2 linked regions of the Arabidopsis thaliana genome follow. The protein of the gene in region 1 interacts with the protein of each later gene in a pairwise test. Each region holds a gene or a part of one and is shown on either strand. Other genes may lie near its edges.

Evidence for each region.
Region 2: the proteins of CW7 (region 1) and AT1G01500 interact in a two-hybrid assay, tested with the Arabidopsis thaliana proteins (one large-scale study listed by BioGRID).

Annotation. Positions count from the first base shown.
Region 1 is NC_003070.9:21,859,411-21,866,719, forward strand, and holds CW7 (CW7), read left to right. Parts: upstream 1-1,871; 5' UTR 1,872-2,178; coding exon 2,179-2,210; intron 2,211-2,425; coding exon 2,426-2,615; intron 2,616-2,713; coding exon 2,714-2,788; intron 2,789-3,164; coding exon 3,165-3,271; intron 3,272-3,605; coding exon 3,606-3,666; intron 3,667-3,981; coding exon 3,982-4,041; coding exon of another isoform or gene 4,042-4,045; intron 4,046-4,120; coding exon 4,121-4,195; intron 4,196-4,735; coding exon 4,736-4,870; intron 4,871-5,211; coding exon 5,212-5,266; intron 5,267-5,838; coding exon 5,839-5,961; coding exon of another isoform or gene 5,962-6,008; exon of another isoform or gene 6,009-6,252; coding exon 6,253-6,530; 3' UTR 6,531-6,579; coding exon of another isoform or gene 6,580-6,606; 3' UTR 6,607-6,800; downstream 6,801-7,309. Other genes in the region: CF9 (Carbohydrate-binding protein), read left to right, coding at 358-1,503.
Region 2 is NC_003070.9:183,016-187,635, reverse strand, and holds AT1G01500 (Erythronate-4-phosphate dehydrogenase family protein), read right to left. Parts: upstream 2,604-4,620; 5' UTR 2,377-2,603; coding exon 1,627-2,376; intron 1,297-1,626; coding exon 1,063-1,296; 3' UTR 501-1,062; downstream 1-500. Other genes in the region: AN (NAD(P)-binding Rossmann-fold superfamily protein), read right to left, coding at 1-401.

The DNA of each region.
Region 1 (7,309 bases):
GATATGTCATTTCAGGTAACTGATATGGTAATACGGAAAAATATCCTAGTAATATTTGGTCAGCAAAATTGGTTTTGCCATAACCGGAAAGATTCCAAAACAATCGTCACTTTAAAATCAAACCAACCGAACATCGAAAAGATTCGTCTGTTGTTGTCTTCTTCTTCTTCAACTTGTTCTTTGTTTCTCTTTCGCCTCTTGAGTTCCTCACTTCTTGGTTCTACCTTCATTCATGTCTCTATCCAAATCTATCTGGTAACTCAAAATCATCACTTCTTCTACTCAACAATTTCACAATCCCATCCCCAATTTTACAATCCCTAGATCTCCCTCCCTCTTCAATTCGCTGTAGTTTTCATGGACCTTGTTCGATTGAGAGACATAGGTTCAATTTCACCTCAGAGAAGAAGGAAATGGCTGATTCTATTAGCGGTTTTCGGTGTTTCGGGTTACGGAGTTTACAGGGTTTACAATTCTCAATACATCGCTAAGAAGACGAAGCGTCTTATGAAACTCTTCTCAGGCATTGTTTCATTCGCCGAAATGGTCATCGATTCCGCGGAGACGATAAGTATCGTTTCTCGAGATTTGAAAGAGTTTCTCGAATCAAATTCCCACGAAATCCCTAATAGCTTGAAACAGCTATCGAAAATCACCAAATCAAAAGAGTTCACTGATTCTCTAGCTAGGGTTTCTGAAGCTGTAGCGATTGGTGTTTTCCGTGGGTATAATTCCGATCCAAACGTCGAAAAAGAATCGAATTTGAGTGTAGTTGATAGAGTTTTCTCAGAGGAAGGAGCTGGTTTTGTTTCTGTTGTTGTTGGTAGTTTTGCTAAGAATCTTGTTCTTGGATTTTACTCTGGTGAGATTGAGATTGGTAGTGATGATTCTTTAAAACCTAGATGGATGAATTTGCTTAGTGATGATAAGTGTAGAGAGCTTTTAGCAGATTGTATTGAGAGATTCACTAGCTCAGCTGTATCGGTGTATATCGATAAAACGGTTGGTGTTAATACTTATGATCAGATATTCGCTGGTTTGACGAATCCGAAACATCGAGATAGTGCTCGAGATGTTCTTGTTTCGGTTTGTAATGGAGCTCTTGAGACGTTCATGAGAACTTCTCATGATGTCTTCACATCTTCAGGAGAGAAAACCGATTCCTCCTTGAGGAAGTCGGAGAATCGAGAAAACGGATGGGCAGAGGCGCTTTCGACTACTTTAGCAGTGCCGAGTAATAGGAAGTTCATGTTTGATGTTACGGGAAGAGTGACGCTAGAGACGATGAGATCAATTCTTGAGTTTGTAATCTTGAAAACGTCACAAAGTTTTAAGAGGAGTTTGGATGTGATTCATGAAGAAGTTACAGAGAGAGGACGTCAAGTAGTTGGATACGTTGGTGCCAAATCTTCAGTGATAATCACTGTTTGTCTTGCGGTTTACTTTCACATCTTTAACCGCTTTGTTCGAGGCCCTCCGGTTTGTTTAAGCCAGCAATTCTAGTTAATCGGATCGATCTATTAGCTTGTTAGAGTTGTTAGGGACATTAGATCTTCAGCCTTCCATATTCTTATTGGTAAGTTGGAGCTGAATAGCGTAGTAGAGTCTTAGCAGTGTTATGTACCCACATATTCATTATTGTTTATTTATAGAGGATTCTTGAGATAATCTCTGCATCTATGCTACCATTTCCAGTCAAACCATATAATGTATTCGAATGGATGTTGCCGGCGGAGCGGACTAGGCAACTCTATTTCTTGGGGCGGATTTATCCGCATCAAATTTATCTTTATGTAAGAGCCGTATGTAGTAAAATATTTTTAATTTTTTCGGGCATATTAAGACGGACTATAATTCATGAATGGTAAATAAAAAATAATCTACTCCACAAACGGATTTATCCGCTAACAACCATGAAAGAGAAAAAAGATTTAATTGTCACTGTAGCAAATCGGCAGTTATTGAGGTTTCCCCGCTCCGATTGACGCAACACGCCAAGATTTTGCCAACGCTAAAGCAAATCAGATCGAAGATTTGTGCTCTCTTCTATCTCTCACTCGCATCGAATTCAGCAAAAATTAAAATTGAAGAACGAGTCAAAGATAGAGAGAGAAAAACCCTATTCGATCACGAGATCGTAATCAACGTTTTTAGCAGAATCATCGGAGGGTAGAAAAAATGCTCAACGATGGCGAAGTAACTCCTTCTAGGTAAACAAGTCAGATTCTTTTGTTGTTCTATGTTTGATCTCGTGCTTAGTTCCAGTCACTGCTCAAATTGAAATGAGATAGTTTTCTATTTGATGAATTTTGTTATTCCACCATGAAATTGCTTAATTCGAATACTAAGATTTCGTAGTAATTCAGCATTTATTTGATTCGATCTTGCTTAAATTGATTTTGTTGTCTGCTTCATGTTTTTTCAGACATGAGATTCTGAGTATGGTGAAGAAGCACTCAAAGTCATTAGGAAAGACGTCTCTTGATGAGCAAGATGCGTCTGATGTAGAAATGGACTCTAATTTCTGGCATGGTGTGTTTGATGTGTACTTTGTTCGTTGCATGGAGTCGAGGAGGCGACAAGACGATGATCTTCTGTTTTTTGTCAGGAAATTGGTATGTAAAGCTTGGACCTTTTTCTCTCAGTCGAAAACTTAGAACTTTGTTATCATCCTTCTTGTTAATGTTGTTGAGTGTTTTGTTGCTTTTGCCAGAGCTGTAAGTCATATGGTTTGACTGAAAATGAGGATGCACCAGCTCCTTACTTTGTACGCAGGTGGGCACCTAAGGTAAAAAACTGTACGAAATAATACAGATACCTAGTTAGATCTCACTACATGAGGTTTGGTTTTGACATGTAACATTTCAACTGCGATGTAAAAATTGTATATTAACAAGGTCTTAGATTGCAACTCCCCTGAAGGTGATGGAAATATTAATTTTACTTCTTTTCGGGTGAGGGATTAAAGTAAGCTAGAGTACTACGTGCTTATTGTAAAGGATTGTCTTTTCTGGCCTACATGCTAAAGCTTTTCACGATCCATCATATCTTATTTAGACCATGGGACAGAGACACTTCGAGTAACCATTTATTTGTTGTGTTGCACCTTGTATGTATTGTCTACAAACATATGATAATGCATTTCTTTCTTACTTGTAAAGCAGTTAGATGAGCTGCTTGGTGAAAGTCTGGCTGAAGTTGATTGGAGGAAATCATTTTATTTGAACATGATTGCCCACACATCGTTCACTGTTACTGTTGCGATTTGCAGGTAACCGTTTCAGTCAGATTGTGATTAGCGGCATCCTGTACTAATTTCATGTTGTCTAATTTACAGCAGTTGTCAATTCTTGTTCTGTTATTGCTAATATTACTATCCTTCTTTCCTGTTTGGGGTTCAAACTCATCTTATTGCATCAATCATTACTTCAGTCTAGCTATTTATTAGGTTGGAATCTCAGATACCATCTTCTTAGTTTCAGTGATTAGGCCTTGAGTCATTTTTATGACATGTTCTCTGGTCTATATACTACTTATCATATGACTTTTTGTCTTTCCATTTGACTGCATCATGGTAACTTTGTTTGAACTACTTGTGTTTTTAGTAATGAGGCCCTTAAGACGTACCAAGGAAGTAAAGACACAAAACTATCTCCTATATACAAGGTTAGAGATCCTAAGAGTTTTGGATAATATTACTCTTGACTTTTCAACTCTTCTATAATCTTTTCATATGAAAAAGAAACTGAAGCCAAAGAGTAGTTATATACTCTGCTGTTCAAAATATATCAGTGCAGCTTTGTTCTAATCATCAACCTATTAAGAAAAGAGTAAGGAAACGGAATATGAATTCAGTTTTGTTTTCATAAGGAGAGGACTTTTCACATGAGTCTTGGACCAAGCATATGGATATTTCTTTGGTTTCATTTTCTGTAAGTCAATAGTAATCATGTTCTCTAATCTGACATTCATATTGTGCAGGTTGTAAAAACTGTATATGCATCACCTAGTCGTGTTAATTTTCATCTGGACTCAAAGAAGGCAAGTATAGTCGCTTTTCTCATACCAATGTTTGTCCTTTTGGAATTTGTGTTTGATGTTTCCATTGTTGTTTACCTAGGAAGTGGAAACAACACCTGCCTACCCAGAAATTTGTTTTGCCGTAGATGATTTTGACTCAACCTTTGATGCTGTGGTAACAAATTTTCTTCTCCCTTTTTGTTGTATTGTCCTTCCAACTGTTATATTATGTAGTCATTTCGTTCAAAGAAACTCTAAACATGAATGTCAAAGGAATTATGACATTTTGTTCATAATGAAATCGGCTCTGGAAGAATAGTTTTTAGTTGAGGAAATATGCATGAACTCCCCTTTGTCACTAGGGTGAAGTTACGTGCATTCTTAGTTTCTCCTTAACTGGATAGTAAAATCTTTTGTAGGATACGTTTGTTGGCTTTTGGTACAGGACTGGAGGATCCAGATAATATTATTTCAACTACCTCTTGCGGTGCTTTAACATCCTCTCCTTATTTGAGTTTAGTACCTGCTATTTATTATCTTCTTCAGAGGATTGGCCTGTCTTCTTCTTTAGTTTTGCTTAGGCGTAGAGGAGTTTGGCTTTATGATTCCTATAAATAACTTAAGTCGTATGGTTAGGTTTCATGCATGGAAGTTGTTATACTGACCATAGTTTTTTTCCAACCTTGTTCATTGGCTTTGTCATTGATGTTTTCAGGTTCTGACAGATAAAGATCATTGCTATTGCGTACTACTTAATTCTCACGATGGGGCAGCCTTTCCAAGTGCAACTGTTAAAGATTCGAGTGATTCTAATACGAATGCTGACCCTAGAACTGTGAAAGATCCTAAGGTCTAGTTTTTTCCCACCTATGCTTCACTATTTTCAGCAGTTGCTGCCAATCATCTATCAATTATTCATTTGCCACCTGCTATGAGTTTCAAATAGATTCCTTAATTTGTGGTTAATGCTTGAAAATATCTTGTAACCATGTCATACAGAGGAATATGTCGGTAGTTTCACTGATGCTTGCAACGGTCGATCTTAAACAAATTAACTAAAGTATTGTTTGTGATTTTTGTAAAGATGATTTAACTTCAAGCTCAATGGTTTTCAAAAGGCCTATGGACACATTACATGGTCGTGACTTTCTAATGAGAAAGAAATTGACATGCTGGTGCTTTTGGTTGCAGGTTACTCTGTTTTCTGGGTTTGTCAGCTATCAGATGGTTCGAGAAGCCTATGAAGGTCACTTTACAGTTTCTTTTCTATTTCTTATTCAGTTTTAGAACCTAGTTCAATTCTCCAGCAACTTTTGTAGTTATGGTTTACTTGCCTTAGTCTTCTAGTACTTAGCACTATCATTGTCGATCTCGGTCTTTCATATTTCTCCCAAAATATTTGATGGAAAGTATATATTAAGGGTCCATGATAGTACGGAACTTGGTCTCGAGCTTGACTCCACTATAGCACACAGAATTCATTAGTGGTTATTCATGTCAGGGAAACATGCAGTCTTAATATTCATGCCTTTACTCATTTACTCAAAAAGTAAAGTCGAAATTTTTGGAAGTAGTATGGTTCGTTTAGAGATCAAGGAGGTGTGAATATGAAACGGTACCCAACCTGACAACCTCAAGATGGCTGGACTACAAAATTAACTTTTGTAGACATGGAATTTTGAGATATTAAGAGCTAAAAGACCTAAAGGAACCTATTGCTTGTTTCCTTGTCTATATAGGCTGAGATCGCTTTCGTTGATTTGGGCTAATTAATATTTTCACGCTTTATGTTTTTTCATCTAATAACTTTTATTACAGGGGGGAGGAATCGGTTTGGAAGTCTCCTATCTCTCGGTCATATTACAGGAAAAGCAGACAGACTTTATATGAGAGGCCCAGGAGGACGTGGAGAAGTTGAAGTAGCTGTTTCTGGCGTTGTAGGTACTTTTCATTTCTTATGCTTGAATGGCTCTTTATTTTCCTGTTAGTGTTTTGTTTCCCTATTTTCTCGAGTGTTACAGTGCAGTTAGTAATATTCCATGGAAGATAAAAAAAAAAAAGTAAAAACATAGAGAATGCCCTAGCCAACAATTGTCTTAGGTCGGATTGTCTTAATAGCAGCAATATTTAAGAAGTACAATCGCCAAAATTTAAGAGTAGGAGACTTGTTGAAATGTATATTGAAGACGTAGTATGGTTTAAAGGATGATTGTATAGAATTGCTTTTCTCAGATCAGAGCCAAGTAGTTTTAGGGCCTGTTTCACCTATGTCTTCAAAGAAGAGCATCGATCTCGGATCCATTTTCCGTAAAGCAGCCTCTGTTGCATCTGTCGCAGCTAAACATGCAATAGCAGCTGCTACTGCCTCTTATGATGAAGACGAGATGTTCCCTCTTAAATGCTGCTTAATGTCCATTTCATTACCATGGGACACTATTGCTCATGATCTTTTATTCAAGGTAACAAATGATTTCTCTTTAGCCACACCGGTCGTCAACAATAGACACTAATAGATCTTTTCGATATTGCTGATCGATTCCACTAATCGTCTTTATTTAGGCAACTCCACCAGTCAACATGGAGTAGCACACTCTGGAATGAAGCGTAGGAAACAGAAGTTTGTGTGTTTTGTCTAAATGTTTTTTTTTTTTGTACTTTGATTGAATATTCCTTTTGTGATGTTACTCGACTATGTGGTTTACCACAACCACTGTTATTACCTCAAGGAATAAATGAAAGTAAAGTTGTGAATTTGCAATCATCAAGTCTATATGTTTTGGCTACTCTTCTTGTTTAGTATAATGTGGACTCGCTCAGCCTATACTTTGACAAACAGAATGAATTTCGGTTAGTTAATCAAGGTCCGGTTATTTATATAAAACTTAAGTTCGGTTCGGATCGATAAATCTTTGATTCAGTTTGGTTCGGTTTTTAGGTCGATCCCTATGAGATACAGATGTCTTGCATAGAAAGTATAGAAGATATGGTATTTAAACATGTGAAATAAAACAGCTTTTTGCCATCTTTTGTTGGACTTTACTTGAGAATGTGGAATGCTAAAGAATAAAAAGAAATTAGGGTAGACAAATAAGGAGGAAGCACATGAATCCAACTCTTGGTGGTAGACATTTCTTATTAGATGACAAAACTCTGTTTTAGGTTAAACTAAGGTGTATAGCTTTCTAAGAAAAGGAATTGTGTTAAAATATAGATCGGTTGTTAGACATTTCCTAATTAGATGACAAAACTCTGTATCTGAGGTTAAACTAATGCTTCTATTTTAATAACA
Region 2 (4,620 bases), about 22 Mb from region 1:
GTCCGTCGAAGGAGTCCAAGGATGAGCGCCATGACGGTATCCGCGATTTCCTCGGCTCGTGAAGTATCTACATGGACAAGTCGGAGACCTAGGTCGGCGGCGAGAGTCGAATCGACAGCGCGATCAGCAGAGCCAAGGCAGAGAATGAGCTGGTGAGGACGGAGTCGGCGTTGAGCTGCTCGTGGAAGATACGCGAGGGAATGGAGGAGAACGGCGGTGGCGGACTCGATCTTACCATCGGCGATGCGGCTGAGCGGGACGTATTCGACACCAGCAACGCCGGCGAGGGAGTCTTGCTCGAGCGCACAATCCTCTATACAGTTGAGTGTAACGACGTGAGGCGACGCCGGTGACGGCTGGTCGCGATGTGGCATTGTCGCAGACGAACGGATCTTGCTCATCTCCTCCTTCTTCTCGCTACTCTCGAGGAGTGAAATTTTGATTTTGGGAACATAATGATTTAGGGTTCAATGTTGTAAACTCTTACAAAATTAAGGGGCTAAATTTCATTTATAATAATTTTCAGGGCCCAAAATACAATTTAAACAAATTGACAATAATTTTTTAGTCCAATGCTCATGCTCCCCCGATAAGACGTCATCGGTTTGACATTTATGATAAACGACGCCGTCTTCCACTTGGCTTGTTGTAATAATTTAATTTACTAATTGCAAACAGATACTGAATACAGGTGAAACATGTACATTCCCTATTCCACATTATTTCCTGACCAGAAACCGAAAGACAAACTCCAGCGTTTGACAACAACAACAATAACACGAAATCTCTTTCTACACAAGAGCAACGACATAGACAGACTTGAGAAAAGAAAGAACAAAAGAACATGACTGGAGCAAGATGGGAACTCTCTTTTGTGCTACTAAAGTATATGAACAGAGCCGAATATATATATATATTCAAAAGGACACAAACAGGTGAAAACCAAAAGCTCTATACATCTATCTACCAAAATTCTATCTCTTTTATAACCCACTACGTTACCGACATTCTTAGTAGATCTCGAAATGTCTAAGTGGGTTTTTAGTTTATGGTAGGTGATGATCAGAGAAACCTCCTACGAAGGTTACTAGTTGTTGCTTGATACGAACGCATGAGTAATCCAACTCCAATGCCTACACCAAGACACATCCCAAGGCCTATCCCAACTCCGACTCTGACTCCTGCATTGAACCATGAGAGCTGACCATCCTCATCAACGTACATTCCTTCAGGGTAATATCTCTGTGCCATTTTCATATCTGAGTCATCGTATTCATCAACTTCTGATTCCATCATCTGCATAAACGAAACGACAAACAAGATAAAGCACCAAAAAAAGTGCAAAGAGAGTCTATTGACCTATATCCATATCTCAATTTCTGATCAGTCAACAATTCTACAATTTTCAAATTCAGCTGTAGAGTCAAAGAAAACATTCAAGCAGGAGCTAAATTCACCAGAAACTTGCGAGTGATCTTAATAACTAAATATCTGCTACAGCATTCATAACTCACAAAACTAGACGAAAGAAGCAACCTTTTCAAATCTCAATCCCAAGTTATTAAGAATCGTAACTTAAGGGCTTGGACAATCACCAAACAGAGAATTGTGAAATCAGAATCATACCTGTACTTTGCTTTGACGGGCCAATTCATCACCAATGGTACCAATGTCTTGCTCTTTGCCAACTTCCTCATCCTCAGGGATAGCGTCGAGTGTCACGTGCCTAGCCACCTTCCTCCTCGGACTCGCCTGAATCGTCTTGGTCAATATCACCGGGACACCACCACAACAACCAGCTATATAAACCTCGACGGACGGAGACGAGACTCCAAACTTTGGCTGGAAAAACACAGAGGCAGAAGGACCTGACACGTGTCCGTTTCCCATAGCAATGTAACAATCCATGCCCCATCCAGTCTTGGGATCACTCACAGTTCCATTGTTCCAAGCACCTTCGATTCTATCTAGGTTCCCACACAAGACCATATCCTCGTTATCATAAACCTCGAAATCAACGCATCCGGTAACGCGAACGGTCTCAGTGCTCACGTAAGTCACCTCCGACGATTCCCGGTCGACTCTGTCACGGCGGAGTTTAAGCGACGCCGTCTGCGACGAAGGAACGCGAACGCCGTTAACCTCAAGAGAAGCACCGGTTTCGCGACGAGGGTGACGGAGGGTGAGGAAGTCAGGGACGTTCTCAACGACGCAAGGAGCGATACGGACGTAGAACAAACGAACCTCCAGCCACGCCGATTGCGACAACGAAATTGATGATGCCGGAGACGGCGGCGATACGGTGGAGGTATTCATGTGGTACGATTTGGTTGTACCCAGAGGATCCAGATGATGAAGGTGATCTTTCGAAATCATCGAGAACGATTAGATTCAAGAAAACCTAAATTCGCAAATCTGGATTTGATGAGAAAATTGAAGGATTTGAGGAACAAGCAGAGAATGAATGAGAGGAGGAATCGAACAGGAACTTTTTTGTTTGTTTGTTTGTTTGTTGTGTTTAGGTTTTTGAGGGTTTCAGATATTTTCGAAGGTAAAAAAAGGTCAAAAAATTATAATTTGATTGAAGACGAGGTAATTACGGAGGGGTCAAAGAAGAAGAAACCGACAGGATAAAATACCCTCCTCACCTGTGAGATTCGCACGTGTGACAGTTTTTTTTGGCTTTTTCCACACAAACAAAAAAGGTTTAATAACTGGGCCATCAATTCCACACAGTCCGTTAAATGGGCTTAAATCATATGGACTCAGCTCAATTGCTACAAATCATGTTAGACCACTTTTTTTTTTCGTCAACTACATATGGTTCTTTGCAAAAAAGTTATGGATATATATAGTTTTGTATAATTGTAAAAAGCAGACCACATTTAGATCTTAGTAAATAATGATTCAGAAAGCAACATCATTTTACTCATTCGGGTCATTGACCGTACGGAAATTATTAATTTTAATCATAGCTATTACATTCTTTAGTAGATGTTCTTTTTCTCAATGGTTTAAGAGAAAATTTATCAGCTGTTGAACTTTTATCCTTGGAGGATTCCTCACCGTTCGATTTTAGATCTTGTCGGAGAAATTGGACTAACTTTGGATATATATTTATAGGCCGGCTATAATGTTTTCTTCTTCATCCTCTTTTTGTTAACACCGAAAAGATTGGGGCTTGTCATTTCACTTTCTAATTACTTAATTAGGTAGGCGAATATAATCATAAAGTAACATTCATATATAAGATTAATCTGACATCAATATTTAATTAACGTTTAGCTGAAATAAAGATTTTGCAATTCATGTGTATGTCCGCAACTCAAGATCCGTGTCGGAGGTTTACTTAGTTGATTTTATGTCACTTAATTGCACCACGTAGCATGATATTGATCGTATTTTAGATCCTCCAATTGTAAGATTGGTTTTACTTTTTTAATACATTTCGTAATTTTTAGTTAACATTTAATTCATAATCATATTTTACGCTGACGATGGACTTTTTTACTATTTAGAGGTTAATTAACTGATAACACGCTTTATTTTGCCTTAGATTATATAGTGTGCAATTATGATAGTGAACTAATTAAAATAGTTAAGATAACTATATTGTCCCCAATTGTACGTGTTTCCACATATAAAAACACTGTCTGATATATTCTTAAGTAGCATTGTAGCAACATCATCACTTTAATTTTAAGATAAGATTAAAAAAATATTTTAGATAATAAACTGAAAGTTAACAAAAATAGACTTTAATTGTCAAAAACAAGCAACTCCATTAGTAGCAGCTTCAAATGTTTTTATAGAGCATTTTCAATTTTGGTCAAACTATAAAGCAAAAGTTTTTATAGAATTCTCTTTTTTTTTTTTTTTTTTTGTCAAAGTTTACCAGAAAATAATAAATGAGTACTTAGGTCAAATTGTGTTTACTCTTTGATTCATCGCCAAATTACTACATGCAATGCAAGTCCTCTGAAGGCTTAGAATCGACGGTCCAGATCAGAAGATGAGGATGGTACGATCAACGTAAGGGTAAGAATTGACTATTAAGCCGCCTTTTTTTATAATAACAAAATACATAGAATTTGTACATCAGAGTAATAGGTCCCACATCCCACTCTAAGTGGCCCAGATTTACACAAATCTCATCACGTCTCGTTTCCTCTACTCGCAGTTTGCTGCGTGTTCTCACGCGCTAGCCAAAAACACAATCCACTTGTATATATATTTCGTGGACGTCAAATATTAAAGAGAAATAATAATTAATCTACGTGGGCAAACACGTGGAATATGCAGCTGTTTCCCACTACTAATGTATGTTTTTTTTTTTTTTGTGTGTGGCTTGGAGAATATTATTTGTCTTTATTTAGAGAATCAAATTCGTGTAGGATTGGCAAACCGATGGTGGGAGCGAGGACTCAATTATTAGACAACGTACTTCGTATACATATAACTTGAGAAAATAAATCAATCATAGAATGGAAGTTTATATATAAAAATGCAATAAGAAATATTGACAATTTGAGTGTTTCAATATTTTCTTAATGATTGTATACATTATTTATTTCCTACAGTATGTTTTTACCAACAAAAAACAACCAACATTTATATTAT